Linked DNA regions of Saccharomyces cerevisiae S288C. The protein of the gene in region 3 purifies or fractionates together with the protein of the main gene of each other region. This does not show direct contact. Each region holds a gene or a part of one and is shown on either strand. Other genes may lie near its edges.

Region 1 (5,659 bases), on a different chromosome or scaffold from region 3:
TTTTCGAATCGTTTTTTAGAGAGATAACTGGTTTTGTCATGGCATGGACATTTGGATACGCCCTAATCGGATGAACATATAAGAACTACTTCTATAAACGGTTAGAAACAGGCTTGATTTATTATGTACAGTAAATATAATGTTATTTGTGTTTTTTTTTTTTAAATTTTTTTAGTTCCTTCTATGTAAAAAGACATGACAACAGTATTCTCAGTCAAATGATTTCAAATACACAATGTTAAATTCTCTATCTGTTGCAGAAATAAGAAGAGCGTAAGAGCGCAAAGATTTTTGCAGAAAAATAGAGATGAGGTACAAAAAGTAGGTAATGGAAAAAAGCAAATAATGAATATAGGGGAACATAAATGTTATGGACAAGAGTAGATATCAAAATAAAACAAAATAAAATAGAGTAAGTGAAAGACAAATGGAGGAAAAAAAAAAAAAAAAAAAAAAAAAAAAAATAGTAAAAAGTGAAAGGAGAACGATGATAACACTAATCACACCTCCGCATTTTCAACCAATGCTGCAAGTTTCTCAACACTGGCTAAATGTCTATTTCCTAGGGAGTTAGATTTGTTTAGTTTATCCAAATATGCTCTAATGGCAATGACGATCAATTTCTTACCCTCACCCTCAGAGACATTAACTAATTTTTGAATCACATAGTTGGCAAATTGATCCTTGATCATTAAAATCATTGGAGAATCGTCTTCCAGATTCAAAGCATGATTTTTGTCTCTTGGTAAAATCTTAGAAATTATTAAATCCTTCTGATTTTTAGAGCCATAAAGAATAGATTTTTCGACCACGTTGGAGGCAAATTTATGTTTAGAGTATTCGACAACATTATTGGCCACAGTTTCTATGATTTCCTGTTTGATATCGACCATTTCCTTATTGGTGAACTGATCTTGTTGCAAAACATATTGAATGACATAGTTACCATATTGGTCTTGAATTAGATATGGTATGAAATCTTTCAATTCGTTTAAAATGCTTTCCTGATCTTCGCTCGAACCAAATTCTAACAATCTTTGAATGACCCTACAGCCGTAGGAGTGGGTAGATAGATGGTAAATGTGGCCAGTTAAAGAACTTAAGATAAAAGGTAATTTTTCGATAGGAATTGTTTCGATGGCCTTTTGAATTACGTGATTACCGTTCTGATCTTTGATCATTTGCAAAACGGAGTCAGATAATTCCAGGACTAACTCAATTCTTTGATTGGAATCAATATATTCTAACGCCTTTTGAATTACACGACATGCGTACATTTGTAGAGATAACTGTTTCATGTTACCTTTAAATTGATCAACCAAAGTATTTTTTTGAATTTTGCTACCAAATTCAAAAAACTTCTGAATGACGTAATTACCAAATACATCGTTCGAAAGCTCAATGGCGTCATCGCGAATTTCATTGAATATGACCTCCTTTTCTGAGGCTGGTGAGGTGGCCAACTCGCGCTGAATGAACCGTGAACCATGTTGATCTTTGCAAAACTCTAAGGAATGGCCAAAGATGTCTTTTAGTGACATGTTCGAGTTTGAATTTTTGTCAGAACTACTGTTTCTTAGTTGCTCTAACAACGGCGATCGATGATACGTTTGCTGCTGTTGCTGTAGACTTTGAGAATGAGGATGAGAATGAGAGTGAGATTTATGGTTGTTGGCCGTTGACTCATTAGATTTGGAAGAAGCATTCTTTTTAGAGGTATTCTTTGTGGGTATAGAATTTTCTAGATAAGGATTTGCCTGTTTGTTGGCGTTGTTGGAGTTATTTGCAGGATGATTCTTGTTATTTCTTTTCTTGAAGGTTTTTTCGTCCTTGGGCATTTTGACAGGTATAGGATTTGGAGTAGGGTAGTAAATATAAGGATTCTCCTGTTGCTGTTGCTGTTGTTGGTCTTCTTGTTGTTGTTGTTGTTGCTGTTGCTGTTGTTGCTGGGGAGCAGAGAGTGGTGGAGGTGGCATAAACATCATTGGGTTGGGGTAGGCAAACGGGAACGGAGAATTGTTTGGAGGGGACGAAGGTGAAGAAACAGAAGAAGGTCTGTTTGCCTTCTTCTTTTTCTTACCATTTGAGTCTTCGGTGTCTTCATTTGCTGGAATCTGTACTGAAATCATCTGGGAGATGAAATTTGAAGGAGATCCGATCAAGTAGTTGGGGAAGTTTTGGTAATGAGGGCCCTGATGAAACTGATTGGGTGGGAAGCCGTTCATGTAGGGGGGGAAATTGTTATTTGCAGGCCCATCTTGTTGGTTAGGAAGCGCGACATTTGTGGCCCCAACAGCGGCTGGATTGTTACTAGGTCTAAATACTGGTGTGTTGGCTACGTTCCAGATATTTCTCTTGGGGTAATGAGCATTTTCGGACTCTAAAGACGCAGATGAGCCTGAATTTGAACTGGAGTGGTAAAGCGAACCACTGTTAGTAGTGTTCCTATTCAATTTGTTGAAGTTTTTGTCAGACTCGACATTTTGCTCGAAAGTATTCTGTGTGTCTAAGCTGGCGTTAGAGACGCTTTTTGATATGAATTGGGACTGAGTATTGACAGCGTCGGGTCTATCTTGAGATTCCAGTTCCCTTGTACCGTCAATCAAAGATTTTCCGAACTTCTCAAAAAACCCTTCCCCACCAGAGTTGTTGTTGTCATTGCCATTGTAGTAAACGGGACCAGCAATGGAAGCTGAATACTGGCCCAGAAGATGGTTGACCTTGTTGTTTTTCCCGAGATTAGCCGCAGTATGATGAGTATGATAGTTATTGTACGATGCGGATGACAGGGAGGCAGTGTCGGTTGATCTGTACTGGTAATAATTGCCGCCGTTACCAAAAAACTTTTTCGAGTTCGTGGAGAATGGCGGAGCAGTACCAACTGATAGGGCGGTTTTCTTGAAGATCGGTGAAGATTCACTGGAACCGTGAAGCAGCAAGATCTCTGAATCTACTTCATTTGCCGTGGTGAAACTCGACCTTCTGAAGCCGCCAATTTGCTGTGATCCAGCAGCACCGCCGTTCACAATGCCGGCCGCGGCGGCCTGACCGCCGTTGTTGTTACTATGGGACAGGGCGCTTAAAGAAGAAACTATGGATGCGAGTTCCATATCCATATCCATATCCATGTTCATTTCCATTTATACCCGCAATATTGCGTTATTCAGAAGAAATTTAAATGCGTAGTTCTTGTTTGTTTTCTTGTTTGCTTGCGTACTTCTATGCTTATAGATATATCAGTAGCAAGGAAGTTTCCTTTTCACCGCCTTTCAATGTTCCTATCTTTTTCTTATGTTTCTCTTTAGAGACCAGATGACCAGAAAAAAATTAGCTAAGCAGTGTTATACTATTTACAGTAGATATTCAAATATGTGCAGGCACCACTTATTTTTCTTTTTCCTTCTTTTCTTTGTTTTTTTTTTTCTCCTATTCATCAAGCTTCATACATCCAATATACATTCTCAAGTGTGCTAATGGTACATTTGGGAAATTATCTTCCTCTCTCCACAATTTTTAGAAGGAAAAAAGAAATGCAGTTCAGGGTAACAGAGTGCGCAATTACCGTAGATAGCGATCGGATGTTTATCTTTAGCCCTCTTTTTCTAGCTCAAACCCCGGCACGAATTTTTTAGGTCTTGCTGCTCTGCCCTCGGGCACTTTTCTTCGAGAAGTTCTGGGGCGGTCTGATCGGGAAAAAACGTTCCCTTTTCGGACGTATCGCAGGCAATGTGCAAAAGCTTATTATATACGAGAAAAGAAACGCGAAGGAACGAAAGAAGATGAAAAAAATGCAGCGATAAAATGATATTGTGGTTAATCTAAATTTATATATATATATATATATACATATATATATAGAAATCTATTGTTATACACAAAAATACTTATTTTTTAATATAGATGGCTGCAGATAAAGTAATAGTTTTATATATAGGTATATTTACTGCACAATTCACACGATGGGTGTTTCTGCGGTGTTGAAAAGAGCTAGGAATTTACTAGCAACGTTCATAGTCTGCTGTTTTATGGCAGTAGTGCTTGTTCTGGCGCTGGCACACCATTTTATAAATGAGCACAGAGACACTAGGAGTTCATCGACCCAAATCGAAGTTGATGACGAAAGTAAAAGAAACGTACACCATGACCATGTTCTCACTAGAACCAATGCATACGCGACGCCATACCTCGATCTGGAACATGACAAGAAAAACGGTATCGTCTACGATCATACAAGAACGGTTGTCCGTAAAAAGAACCACGAAGTGGGGTCCTCGTCACTGCATAAAAACCTTTTTCACAAATTTTTGACAAAGCTTATTTTTAGGTTTATCGAGAAGGAAAAAGTTACCGAAGGCGTAACGCAAGGAAAGTTCAATAATAGTAGCAATGAAATTGCCAATCATGAACCGGTTTTTGAAAAAATTCCTGTACAGTGCGACAATCCATTACAGAATCTAATCTTATCGGAAGACTTGACATTAGTTGCGGATCTTAATTATTATTTTAACCAGTACAATATTCAAATAGAGGAATTTAGATTGGAGACCGAAGATGGGTTTGTTATAGATTTGTGGCACTTGATACCAAAATATAGAACGACAGATTCTGACAAGAAGAAGAGGCCACCCATTTTGATGCTACATGGCCTTTTGCAAAGCAGTGGTTCGTTCGCATCCAATGGTAGAAAATCTCTGGCATATTTTCTGTATCAATCCGGTTACGACATATGGTTAGGGAATAACAGATGCGGGTTTAGGCCGGAATGGAACGAAGCGAAAGTACCGACACTAGCTTCCAGGTGGGACTGGGACCTTCGCGAGATGGTTAAGTACGATCTGACCCTTTTGATTGATACCGTGTTAGCTAAGACGCAGTTTGAAAAGCTTACTTTGATCTCGCATTCTCAGGGCACTACACAGGGGTTTATGGGCTTGGTCAACGAAGATAAGTTTTTCCCTCCCGGTTCGGGATCTAAAGAATCTTTTTTCACTTCTAAGATCGCAAACTATATTGCCTTGGCCCCCGCAGTGTATCCTGGTCCCTTACTTAACGAGAAATTGTTTGTTAAGCTTATGACAAAGGAAATCGAAAATCCCTGGTTCTTTGGTGAAACGAGCTTTTTTGAGATAATGATGATTGTAAGAAACTTGTGCGTTGGTGAGAGCTTGTTCTCCTTTGTTTGTTACACCATCTTCAATTACCTGTTTGATTGGAACGATACCCTTTGGGATACCGCATTAAGAGATCGCCATTTCCTGTTTTCGCCAGTCCATGTTTCAGTGAAGTTGATGCAATGGTGGCTGTCACCCGACCCCAACAAGGTAAGTTTTAAATTTGGTTCCCATAAGATGTTCCCCGACAATGTTAAGTGGTTTTCAGACGCATCAAAGGCCCCAAATATCTACTTGTTTGTTCCAAAGCAAGATAGATTGGTGGACGGAGAAAGACTAATCAATCATTTCGTCAATGTGGAGTCGAATGTCAACTACAAGATCTGGTACATTGATGAGTATGCCCATATTGATGTCCTATGGGCACATGATGTCATAGAGAGAATTGGTAAACCAATTTTACAGAATTTGAACAACTATTACTCCAAGAAGCCATCCAGCGCCTTTGAAAGTGATTGTTCGGACACAGAGGTGGAAACGGAGCTGGA
Region 2 (4,530 bases), on a different chromosome or scaffold from region 3:
ATTTAAAAGGCACTGGAGCATGCGCTCTCAAAAAATCAGCGTTGTCCACGTTTTCAACACCTATTTGGTCCGGAATTAATGGCAATTTAATTTGTTTAAACGGAAATTCGTGTTCAGGATCCACAACACGAATCAAGAACGTAGATGCACCACAAATAAAGTCGAAAACCTCTAGTTGAAGAGATCTATGAGCGAAGAACCCTTGAAGAGCAAATCGCAAAGATTCTGTTGTTTTCAACGCCTTCTCCATCTTGGATAATTGTGCTGTAATGAATCTGGCAAAGACATCGTGGTTCGCAGCTATTTTCTTTACTTTTTCAATTTCTTCCTTTAACGCTTTGATTTCAGATCCCATCTTCTCTTCAAATGATAATGTACCTCCCAGACCATAATGCAAATAGGTTAATGTCAAGAAAAAGCAATCAGAGATGAAGTTTGGCTTAGAATCTGCTGTTTTTCTGTTCTTGTCATAAAATGCATCTGCCTCTTTAAAATCAGAATTTAATCGTGTTTCCCCTGATAAATCAATAAATAAACTTGGGTTGTTGAAGTAATTTGCGTCGATCTTGTCGATTTTCTTATATGAAATATCTAGAAATGGTTGAGAAAATCTAACCAATAACAAAGTGATATTGGACATAAATCCGTTAGAGGATAGTTCTTTGAATGGTGGATGATCGGCTCTACGTAAATGGTTTTTATTAGCGATATGGGCAAAATAACTAATCATATCAGTCCTTGAGTTTAAGGAGCCACGAACAAGCTTATCGACAATAAAAAAGAGTCTATCTATGACAACTTTATGCTCAGCTTGTAGAGATTCATGGATCATGGCTGTCTGTTGTTTGGAACGCAAAAGGTTATCGCCGTAGTTCCGGATTGCCACAGCAGCTTCTATGGGAGAAAGAGATAAAATAGGCCCCAATATCGTTTTCCTTTCAAAATCCTGTGGTTTACAGCTATAGTCTGCAAAAAAACCATCTATTTTAGTGAATATTTCTGCAATAGGTTTAAATGTAACAAATAACTCAAAAATGGTAAGAACGTTATTGTAAATTACAGATTCGTTCAAATCAAAATGGCTGACATGTTTATTACAGTATTCTAATAATGTCGGGAAAACAGCGTTAAGTAAATCCAAAGCGGTACCTTCTAATATGGCTCTTTGAATGATTTGGGAAAGGAAATCAGTATATGAGTTAACGTTAGAAACAATTCCAGTGATATAATTGATGAAAGCACCATTCATGCAAAAGTTTTCTATTTGTAAGGCAACGACACCATAGCCAATGACAAGACGATCAATCTCTTGGAAAGTGGAATGTAATGACTCAGCATTTGGCTTGTTTTTGGTGATTCTTTTTTGTTGCTGATTACGGCGAAAGCAATCGTTCAAATATTCAAACGGTTTATCCAACTTCTCATTCTCGGTGAGTTGATATAATAGTAGCGTATCAATAAAATCAACTCCAAGAGTTGAGCCTTGAGGCACTTCCTCGGACTTCAATAGAGAGTAGCCACGGGTATCGGAAGGATCGGTGGTGATTTGTAAAATATCTTCTATGGCGGTCATGATCTATGGAATGAGGGTTCTACTTTCAAAGTTAACTTTTCCCCTTAAACAACTTGTGGTCAACTTTACCTTTCTATTGGCTGACACAATTCTCAAAGATATAATTAACGTTTACTGTGGCAACAGCAAGTGGTTGAGTCTAAAAATGTGAATAAAATGGCAATTACTTAATGATTAACAATGATTGCGGCGTACACCTCTATTATTTTGTTGCCAATGGTTAGAATCTACCTTTGATCTTCAATTCACCTTTTGTAATAAAGACAGACTATCGCCTCTGACGAATACTGACAAAATAGCGTCCTCGACGAAAGGATGAATCGTTAAGCGCAAAATAATATTGATATAATAAGAATATCGATTAAGAAGCGTTGGCTAGTGTCATATGCGGGTTAGCCTATCTGTTTCTTCTTTCTTTCACATACAACTCGACAAGTTTTGGCGTAGGCAATTGAGCCATATTGTACCAGCAAGCCGTGGTGACAGTATGTTGAAACGTGCATCTTATAATGGGCGCACGATTTATTTTATTTTAATTAATTTTTTAGTTATTTCGTATCGTACTAACAACTAAGATATTCAAGTCTCTTCAAGTATATAAGGAGTTAGGGCAGAAGTAGGTGATGACAGCACTAGATTCTCGAAACTGGGGATTGACACCCGCTATGGAAACGGGCTTGTTCCAGAAACCACAGGACCGTATCTTTATAATAGAGCTGGAAAATTCCATAGTGTCATTCATAAACTCAAACACAGAATCATTTCAGCTAAGACCGATGAATTCATATTATAGGCTTCTATCGCACCAAATAGCTGAGTACCACAACTTGAACCATGTTTTGGCAAGAACTCAAGATAGTTGTGTGATTCTTTTCAAAGGTGAGAATTTCCAAAAGATTGAAGGAAAGCCACTCTTACAAGAGTTGCAGCTGAACAAAAAACCGGAAGAGTGTGCTTCCTCAAGTGAGAGTATTGAAAAATCGAACAATAACAGAATATTTCGAATCTTAAAGCGGAAAGAGGTAGGTAACGAGTGCGATTATAAAATCGATGGCAATACACGTACACCAAATAGCAATTTGACAGCCAATTCAAATAAGGACCAAAAAATCGAAATCGATGATAAATCTAGTACTGATTTGGAACAAGAAAGAATTGAGAAGGAAAGACTTTATGAACAACGTAAACAAGAAATTTTTGATAAGCTCAACAAGAGTGAAGACGATGTAAAGTCAACCAACAGTAGCGGTAGTAGTGATAGTGACAATGAATGGAGTGATTGGTTGAACGGAGATGACTCTAACACACAAACTAGTAACGGTTCAGTTAGCTCTTCATCACCATTCAATTCATCTGTGACGACGATACAAGTAAACAAACCTCAACAACAATTTTATGATAGTCGAAGAGGAAGAGGAGGAAGAAGAAGAGGAACAAACAATTACAAAGATGCCTATAGAGGCCAAAGTCGTCGGAATAAAGAAAACGGCGGTTACCAATCGGGATATTCTTCGCCATATCTTGTGTATCCTCCTCCCCAAATGGGTGGCAATAGTCTGCCAACCTACCCTCTAATGTATAACCCCGCTGGTCCTGCCCCCGGTCCTGCACCTTCACCCATGGTAATGGGCAATAACACAGTCTTCATGAACCCTTACATGTACAATATGAATCCCCAAGGGTCCTGTTCGTTTGGCACCCCAATCCCTATGTATCCCCCATACCAATATCAATATCAATACCAATATAACACTCAGTATCACAGCGGGCCATATAGCAATACACCAAGCTATAATTCTAACAATTACACAAGATCCTCAGCAAATAAGTACCACCATTTTCAAGGAAAAAATTCATATTCTGGTGCGATTCCGAAACGTAGTGATGACAGTAACAGTAATAAGAATGAGGGAATTCGTAGGGCTAGTGTTGAGGGTTCGCCGTCATCTAGGGATACTGATTCGGTAGAGATGAAATTTGATAAATTAAACATTTAGCGTGAGGAGTGAACTATACATAGCGAAAAAATTACGTAACGGTTTATAGAAATTCTAGTATGAGAACAGTAATATATGAGAAAAAGTTGTTTTCACTTTGTGTTCGAAAAAATAAGTATTTGAAAACGAAAAAATAGTTTGTATGTTTGTATATAAGTTGTTATTATCAAAAATTAGAGGGAAAAAGTAACTAAATATATATTAAAAAAAAAAAAAAAATAAATGTATGTTGGAATGAAATAGCGTAGTAAGGATAAAGGTGTAATAGATATATATTATAAGAAATAATCCGGTGTCTTCCTGGTGACGGTTGGTTCACCGGGTCTCACAGATGGATCGTATTGTAAGAATTGCCTATTATGGTTTTCATCCACCTCCATAATAGCGGCCTGGTTACCACATCTATAACAATAATTTGGAGCACTGAAAATGGTGACAACATTTTGCTGGTGAGACCAAGAATATCCTTCCATTACCAATTGGTGAGCTCTTGCTATTAGTGATAGGTCATTAGTGTGATTGAATTGCTCACTGATGTCTTGACCAAAAGTGAAGCCTGCACCTCTCGGACTGATTCCCCATCCGCCTCTATCATCAGGATCGGACCATAGAAGGTCACACATTGGACCTTCGTGAGGCACTTCCTGTATTCTATTTAAATCTCTAACTTGATCTATTGTCTCTATCATGGGTGAGAGACCTCCATGCAAACAGAAGATTTTATTATCCACCAAGGCAGTAACGGGGAAATAATCGAATAGATCGGTAAACATTTTCCACACGTTCGCACTGCCGTACTTTCTCAAACATTCGTCATAAAACCCATATACTTGGGTAATCTGCCTAGACTCGTGATTGCCCCTAAGTATAGTAATTCTATGTGGATATCTGACTTTCATGGCAACTAGGTAAGATACGGTCTCAACAGAATAATATCCTCTATCCACGTAATCACCCATG
Region 3 (5,185 bases):
TTATAAATACAATTACACTTTTACCGATTTCTTGATGTTTAAGAACTCTTGTTTTTTCTGTAAGCAAACATCTGAAAATCTCACATCTCTTTCTATCTTACTTTTATTCAAGTCTACTTAAATTTGTCTTTTTTTCTTTTCTTCTTTCTCTACCAATTATAATAAGTGTATGAGCTACAACCACTTAGATTAAAGGTAATACACATAAATAGAAAGGTTTGCGTAAAATATTTCAGTTTGAATAATTATCTCCTCAGTGGAATAAAAAACATCAAAGAATAGAAATAGTCGCTGTATTTTGATGATTGCTTCAGAAATTTTTGAAAGAGGTGTACAAGATCCATTTTGTCAAGATTGTGATTATGAAGATGAAACAGACGTACAAAGTTTTTTAGGTTCAAATGATTTGAATGATTTTGTAAATTCCAAATTAGCGTCCTTTAGTTTTCAAAATTCCTCGAAATCAAATAATTCTCACCACAGCAGCAGTACCAATGCCGGTAATACAAGCAGACACATAGGCAATCATACTATTGGCCACCATTTGAGAAAAATCAAGACAGCTCCGCATCACTTGTATGGCTTCGTCCCAGCAAATTCAACGAACAATTCCAATGAACCAATTCGCCCTTCTCCAAGAAGAATAAGAGCAAATAGTAGCACCCTCATTCACCAGTTGTCCAGACAATCCACAAGACAGTCTTCCTTGGGCGACGCGGCGGATTCCTGTTTTGACCACAAATGCATAAAGCCAAGATCCAGGCATTCTTCCTGTTACGGTATACCAACACATCTATACGGCCTTGAAAAATACGTTTCATCCGAGCTAGACTCTCTAGCAGTAGCTAACGACCAGTCAAATGATCTCACTTCCCCATTAACATCTGTTTCAACACCCGCCTCGAATTCCAACTCGTATTTGAATCTGAATTCAAGTTCGGCTGCATATCCGTCGTCTTATCTCTCCAACGAAAAGAATAATCGACTAAAATTGATTTCCCATGGGAAAATATCATCAAATAACGTCCCAGGTCACAGTGGAAACCTTAACCACTATCACAGAGAACGAACGCCATCAAATCTAAGAAGAGAATCCTTTTCGCTTCTTTCCAATGGTTCCTCTTCCTCTCCCTTGCAGACTAGAAACAACTCGTATTCCAACTCTTTGGTGAAATCTCCTTCCAATAGTTCATTGAATACTAGTGTGGCTTCTTCTAACGAAGAATCTAGTCCTCACACTTCTAATTGCCTGGAGGAAAGGAATCCCAGGAGAAAATCATTCATAAAATTGTCACTAGCGAGTTCATTCTCCAATTGAAAACGAAACATATGCATCTGGCGAACTCCGTAATTCGCCTAACTTTTAATGAATTCATGAACGGGAAATAAGAAAAACAAAAAGAAAATATACATAGTTAGTTACTATCCACTCAATAATATTAAACGAGTGAATGCTTTTACTTTTAACTTTAGTTTAATCTTAATTTACATTATTTTAGTATCATCAGTTTCCCTTTGCTTACTTGATTTGGGAGGGACACCTTTATACGCTTTCGTACTAACTGATCAAATGAAAAGCTTACCAGAAACTTACGATGCTATTGTGAAGGAGAAAAAAAAAGCGAAAAGAGGCATCGTTTTAACGCACACTAACAGAAGACTCTATTTCTCTTGTCAGCCAACAAACGTTGAAGATTTCATCAGGAAAGAAGGAAGGGCAGCAAGACCGAATATACTTTTTATATTACATCAATCATTGTCATTATCAAATGGTCGGTTCCGGTTCTCACACTCCTTATGATATATCAAACTCTCCATCTGATGTAAATGTCCAACCCGCAACACAACTAAATTCCACCTTGGTGGAGGATGACGATGTAGATAATCAGCTATTTGAAGAGGCTCAAGTCACTGAGACTGGATTCCGTTCGCCTTCAGCTTCAGACAATTCATGTGCGTATTGTGGTATAGATTCTGCAAAGTGTGTCATCAAATGTAATTCATGTAAGAAATGGTTTTGTAACACTAAAAACGGTACAAGCAGCTCCCACATTGTTAATCACTTAGTTTTATCCCACCATAACGTAGTTTCTTTACATCCAGATTCTGACTTAGGGGATACCGTTTTGGAATGTTATAACTGTGGACGTAAGAACGTGTTTTTATTGGGATTTGTTTCCGCTAAAAGTGAGGCCGTGGTTGTTTTACTTTGTAGAATACCTTGTGCCCAGACGAAAAATGCGAACTGGGATACTGATCAATGGCAACCATTAATTGAAGACAGACAACTTTTATCATGGGTCGCAGAGCAACCAACTGAAGAAGAAAAATTGAAAGCTCGTTTAATCACTCCTAGCCAAATTTCCAAGTTGGAGGCAAAATGGAGATCCAATAAAGACGCTACAATTAATGATATTGACGCCCCAGAGGAACAGGAAGCAATCCCACCTTTACTATTGAGATATCAAGACGCCTACGAATACCAAAGATCTTACGGGCCTTTAATCAAATTGGAGGCCGACTATGATAAACAACTCAAGGAATCTCAAGCTTTAGAACATATTTCTGTTTCATGGTCCTTAGCTTTAAATAATAGGCATTTAGCATCTTTCACTTTATCTACTTTCGAATCTAACGAGTTGAAAGTTGCCATCGGTGATGAAATGATACTATGGTACTCTGGCATGCAACATCCTGATTGGGAAGGTCGTGGTTACATTGTTCGGTTACCAAATAGCTTCCAGGACACATTCACATTAGAGTTAAAACCAAGTAAAACGCCACCTCCAACACATTTGACCACTGGTTTTACTGCTGAGTTCATCTGGAAAGGTACCTCTTATGACAGGATGCAAGACGCATTGAAAAAATTTGCCATTGATAAAAAATCTATTTCAGGTTATTTGTACTATAAAATTTTAGGCCATCAAGTGGTTGACATTTCATTTGATGTCCCATTACCTAAGGAGTTTTCAATTCCGAATTTTGCACAATTAAACTCATCCCAGTCGAACGCTGTTAGTCATGTATTACAACGTCCGTTATCTTTAATTCAAGGCCCACCAGGCACTGGTAAAACAGTTACTTCAGCAACGATTGTGTATCACCTTTCCAAAATACACAAGGATAGAATATTGGTGTGTGCCCCATCAAACGTTGCTGTAGATCATTTGGCTGCCAAATTACGTGACTTGGGTTTAAAAGTTGTTAGACTTACCGCGAAAAGTAGAGAAGATGTGGAGAGTTCCGTCTCCAACTTAGCATTGCATAATTTGGTTGGCCGTGGTGCTAAAGGGGAATTAAAAAACCTATTAAAGTTAAAGGATGAAGTTGGCGAATTATCTGCTTCTGATACAAAACGGTTTGTTAAATTAGTAAGGAAAACAGAAGCAGAAATTCTCAATAAGGCAGATGTCGTATGTTGCACATGTGTTGGTGCTGGTGATAAGCGCTTAGACACTAAATTTAGGACTGTGTTAATTGATGAAAGTACTCAAGCTTCTGAGCCGGAATGTTTAATCCCAATCGTTAAAGGTGCGAAACAAGTTATACTTGTTGGTGATCACCAGCAACTGGGCCCAGTCATATTGGAACGAAAGGCGGCAGACGCTGGTTTGAAACAATCTCTCTTTGAAAGATTAATCTCTCTAGGCCACGTACCGATTCGTTTGGAAGTTCAATACCGTATGAATCCTTATTTGAGTGAGTTTCCAAGTAACATGTTTTATGAAGGCAGCCTACAAAATGGTGTAACGATTGAACAGCGTACCGTTCCCAACAGCAAATTCCCATGGCCAATTCGCGGTATACCAATGATGTTTTGGGCCAATTACGGTAGAGAGGAGATTTCTGCTAACGGTACTTCCTTCTTAAACAGAATTGAAGCCATGAATTGTGAACGAATCATCACTAAACTTTTCAGAGACGGTGTCAAGCCCGAGCAAATTGGTGTTATCACACCATATGAGGGACAAAGAGCTTATATTTTACAATATATGCAAATGAATGGTTCATTGGATAAGGATTTGTATATCAAAGTGGAAGTTGCCTCAGTTGATGCATTCCAAGGTCGTGAAAAGGATTACATAATCTTATCGTGTGTTCGTGCCAATGAACAACAGGCCATTGGTTTCTTACGTGATCCTCGTCGTCTAAACGTGGGTCTAACCCGTGCCAAATATGGTCTAGTTATTCTTGGTAATCCTAGATCTTTGGCAAGAAACACATTATGGAACCATCTGTTAATCCACTTCAGAGAGAAGGGTTGTTTAGTCGAAGGTACGTTGGATAACTTACAGTTATGCACTGTTCAATTAGTTCGTCCTCAGCCAAGAAAGACTGAACGGCCAATGAACGCTCAATTTAACGTAGAATCTGAAATGGGTGACTTTCCGAAGTTCCAGGATTTTGATGCACAGAGTATGGTGTCATTCAGTGGTCAAATTGGGGACTTTGGTAATGCATTTGTTGACAACACAGAACTTTCTTCTTACATCAATAATGAATATTGGAATTTTGAGAATTTTAAAAGTGCTTTTTCTCAAAAGCAAAATCGCAATGAAATTGACGATAGAAATTTGTACCAGGAGGAGGCTTCTCATTTGAACTCTAACTTCGCGAGAGAGTTACAGAGAGAAGAACAAAAGCATGAATTGTCAAAAGACTTCAGCAATTTGGGAATATAATTCGGTGAACCCTGTTAAAATAAAATGTTAAACTTGGCTTGTGATACAAAACGGCTCAACCGTGAAATGAGCGCTGCAAAATTATTCGAGATAGACTCGCAATTTGCACAATTGTAACCTGAAAAACTTTTTTTACTTTTCCGGAGGTGCATCTATCATTACAGTATGTGATAAAGGGGCATGGACTTGATATCCTAGCCTACTAATCTCTTTGCTAAAACATGTTGCAACCAAATAGGGCTACCATTGTACTTCTAATGAATACTCTTTACGGCGCACTGCAATGCGTAATAAAGTTTTATTGTAGCGAGGTTTCATTTTTGCTTATGTTCTTTTTATTGTTTAATACGTGCATATGTATTCTATAAGATAAATGTATATAACTGCCAACAAAATAAACTAAAATCAAGGTATGGCTGTAGAAAATGATACCACAGATAATAAAATAATAAATAATCTAATAGCTGAGTGGAAGAAAAAAAAAAAATAAAAAAAGAGTA
Region 4 (2,996 bases), on a different chromosome or scaffold from region 3:
AATTAAAAAGCGTCAGAAAATTGTAGCATTTTTCAAAGACAACCGTGATATCACTGAAACACTACGGACTATGTTGAAAAAAGTAAATGATCTATCCCGTATACTTCAAAAGTTTAGTTTCGGAAGGGGCGAGGCATTAGAACTTATTCAAATGGCACGTTCACTAGAGGTTTCAAGAGAAATAAGAAAATATTTACTAAATAACACGTCGTTGATGAAAGCTACATTAAAGAGTCAAATCACACAGCTGACTGAGTCTTTAAATTTTGAAAAAAATTTGATTGATGATATTTTGAAGTTTTTAAATGAGGAAGAGCTAGCAAAGTCACAAGATGCTAAACAGAATGCAGATGTAACTAGAATGCTTGACATAGATGTAAAAGACAAGAAAGAAAGTAACAAAGATGAGATTTTTGAATTAAGAGATTTTATCGTAAACCCTTCGTTCAATACCAAACTTAGGAAATTGCATGACACTTATCAGGGCGTTTGGCAAAAAAAAACTGAGTACAATGCTTTATTAAAAGGTTTTTTTGTTGGCGACCTAGGTGCTAAGACTTTCACCTTGAAGGAAAGGCAAAACGGTGAGTATGCCCTCCATGTGACAGGAACAGCCTCTAGTTTAAAGAAAATTGATGAGTTAATTAGTAAATCGACGGAGTACCACGGAAGTTGCTTCCATATTTTGCAAAAATCAAGCCAAACACGATGGTTGAGTCACAAAATTTGGACAGACTTGGGGCACGAGTTGGAATTATTAAATTTAAAGATTAGGAATGAAGAGGCTAATATTATTGATCTTTTTAAAAGGAAATTTATTGATAGAAGTAACGAGGTCAGACAAGTTGCAACTACACTGGGCTATCTTGATACCTTATCGTCCTTTGCTGTGTTAGCTAACGAGAGAAATTTAGTCTGCCCAAAAGTGGATGAGAGCAATAAACTAGAAGTAGTGAATGGGAGACATCTAATGGTTGAAGAGGGTCTTTCCGCGCGCTCTTTGGAGACATTCACGGCCAATAACTGCGAATTGGCGAAGGACAATTTATGGGTAATTACCGGACCGAATATGGGTGGTAAATCTACATTCTTAAGACAGAATGCAATTATAGTCATTCTGGCGCAAATTGGATGTTTTGTTCCATGCAGTAAGGCGCGTGTGGGTATTGTAGATAAGCTTTTTAGCCGAGTTGGTTCAGCAGATGATCTGTACAATGAGATGAGTACGTTCATGGTTGAGATGATAGAAACATCGTTCATCTTGCAAGGAGCTACGGAACGGTCTTTAGCTATTCTAGATGAGATTGGCCGTGGGACTAGTGGTAAAGAAGGCATTAGCATCGCTTATGCAACTTTAAAGTATTTGTTAGAGAACAATCAATGCAGAACGCTTTTTGCTACACATTTTGGTCAAGAACTGAAGCAAATCATTGATAACAAATGTTCGAAAGGAATGAGCGAAAAGGTCAAGTTTTACCAAAGCGGAATCACTGATTTAGGTGGAAACAATTTTTGTTACAACCATAAGTTGAAGCCGGGCATCTGCACGAAATCAGATGCCATTAGAGTTGCGGAATTGGCCGGATTTCCAATGGAAGCGTTAAAAGAAGCCCGCGAAATATTGGGATAACTTTTGAATACAACTATTAATTGTATATAATTTGACATGTAATATAATAAGATGTGGAATCAATTTCCCTGTCTTTTTTTTCAAAAGCGACTGTGAAGATACTTAGAAAATGGCAAAAACGGTAGTTTGCAAATTTCCGTAGTTTGTCGCGCGAATGATATTAGCGGAAACAAAACGATCAAACCTTATACCATGAATATAATGGTGGATATTTATTACGGTAAGGAAACACTCTGAGCCAGGCTTGTAAATAGCGGTTATCTAAGCTTGTAACTAAAGAAATCAATTTGCATCTTTCGTCCATGAGTGTCAGCCTTGAGCAAACGCTCGGATTCAGAATAAAAGTTACGAACGTGTTGGATGTAGTTACTGAAGGAAGATTGTATTCGTTCAATTCATCCAACAACACTCTTACTATCCAAACAACAAAGAAGAATCAATCTCCACAAAACTTCAAGGTGATAAAATGTACATTCATCAAGCATTTGGAAGTCATTGGTGATAAGCCCTCGTTTAACTCATTCAAAAAGCAACAAATCAAACCCTCATATGTCAACGTGGAAAGAGTTGAGAAGCTTTTGAAAGAAAGTGTAATAGCATCTAAAAAGAAAGAACTCTTAAGGGGCAAGGGTGTGAGTGCAGAGGGTCAGTTCATTTTCGATCAAATCTTCAAGACCATAGGAGATACTAAGTGGGTGGCTAAAGACATCATTATTCTTGATGACGTTAAGGTGCAACCTCCATACAAGGTCGAAGATATCAAAGTGCTACATGAGGGAAGTAACCAATCCATTACATTAATTCAAAGAATAGTGGAAAGAAGCTGGGAGCAGCTAGAACAAGACGATGGTAGGAAAGGTGGATAGATTAATTAATGACGGAAACGATAATATACGTTATATATTTTATCCGTACTTCTATAATGTCAACTATTGTTTATAAAGAGATCCATTTGAGTCTACAGATTTTTCTATTTATCAAACTATAATATTCCACCACTCTCTTCTCAGTCGCAATGCTTGGGTGTACGGTGTTTGAATAATTGAATTAGATTTAAATGCGAATAAGTGATGACTAACAAGCAAAAAAATCGAGTATTTCAAGATCCAGTCGAATATAAAATCTTGCTACTGCATTATTCTACGATTTCCTGTTATCACTTATAGTACACATGTCTGAGTTTTTGAATGAAAATCCCGACATTTTAGAGGAGAACCAACTTCCCACTAGAAAAGAAGATAGTACCAAGGACCTTTTGTTAGGCGGGTTCAGCAACGAAGCTACGCTGGAAAGGAGAAGCCTTTTGCTGAAAATAGACCATTCTTTAAAGTCTCAGGTATTGCAAGATATAGAGGTCTTAGACAAG

Evidence for each region.
Region 1: the proteins of NAM7 (region 3) and PUF3 purify together in Saccharomyces cerevisiae (affinity purification with mass spectrometry; 2 studies listed by BioGRID). This does not show direct contact.
Region 2: the proteins of NAM7 (region 3) and RBS1 purify together in Saccharomyces cerevisiae (affinity purification with mass spectrometry; 3 studies listed by BioGRID, with this or other methods). This does not show direct contact.
Region 4: the proteins of NAM7 (region 3) and LSM12 purify together in Saccharomyces cerevisiae (affinity purification with mass spectrometry, with the first as the bait; one study listed by BioGRID). This does not show direct contact.

The regions. Positions count from the first base shown.
Region 1 is NC_001144.5:121,575-127,233, forward strand, and holds PUF3 (mRNA-binding protein PUF3), read right to left. Parts: upstream 3,141-5,659; coding exon 501-3,140; downstream 1-500. Other genes in the region: EMC6 (Emc6p), read left to right, coding at 1-74; YEH1 (sterol esterase), read left to right, coding at 3,960-5,659. UniProt on the Saccharomyces cerevisiae protein: RNA-binding protein involved in post-transcriptional regulation. Negatively regulates expression of COX17 by binding to the 3'-UTR of COX17 mRNA. Promotes decay of COX17 mRNA by enhancing its rate of deadenylation and subsequent turnover.
Region 2 is NC_001136.10:120,020-124,549, forward strand, and holds RBS1 (Rbs1p), read left to right. Parts: upstream 1-2,196; coding exon 2,197-3,570; downstream 3,571-4,530. Other genes in the region: ubiquitin-ubiquitin ligase UFD2, read right to left, coding at 1-1,573; phosphoprotein phosphatase 2A catalytic subunit PPH22, read right to left, coding at 3,846-4,530.
Region 3 is NC_001145.3:426,212-431,396, reverse strand, and holds NAM7 (ATP-dependent RNA helicase NAM7), read left to right. Parts: upstream 1-1,769; coding exon 1,770-4,685; downstream 4,686-5,185. Other genes in the region: ISF1 (Isf1p), read left to right, coding at 302-1,318. UniProt on the Saccharomyces cerevisiae protein: RNA-dependent helicase required for nonsense-mediated decay (NMD) of aberrant mRNAs containing premature stop codons and modulates the expression level of normal mRNAs. Also capable of unwinding double-stranded DNA and translocating on single-stranded DNA.
Region 4 is NC_001140.6:350,824-353,819, forward strand, and holds LSM12 (Lsm12p), read left to right. Parts: upstream 1-1,932; coding exon 1,933-2,496; downstream 2,497-2,996. Other genes in the region: mismatch repair ATPase MSH1, read left to right, coding at 1-1,630; iron-sulfur cluster assembly protein CIA2, read left to right, coding at 2,802-2,996.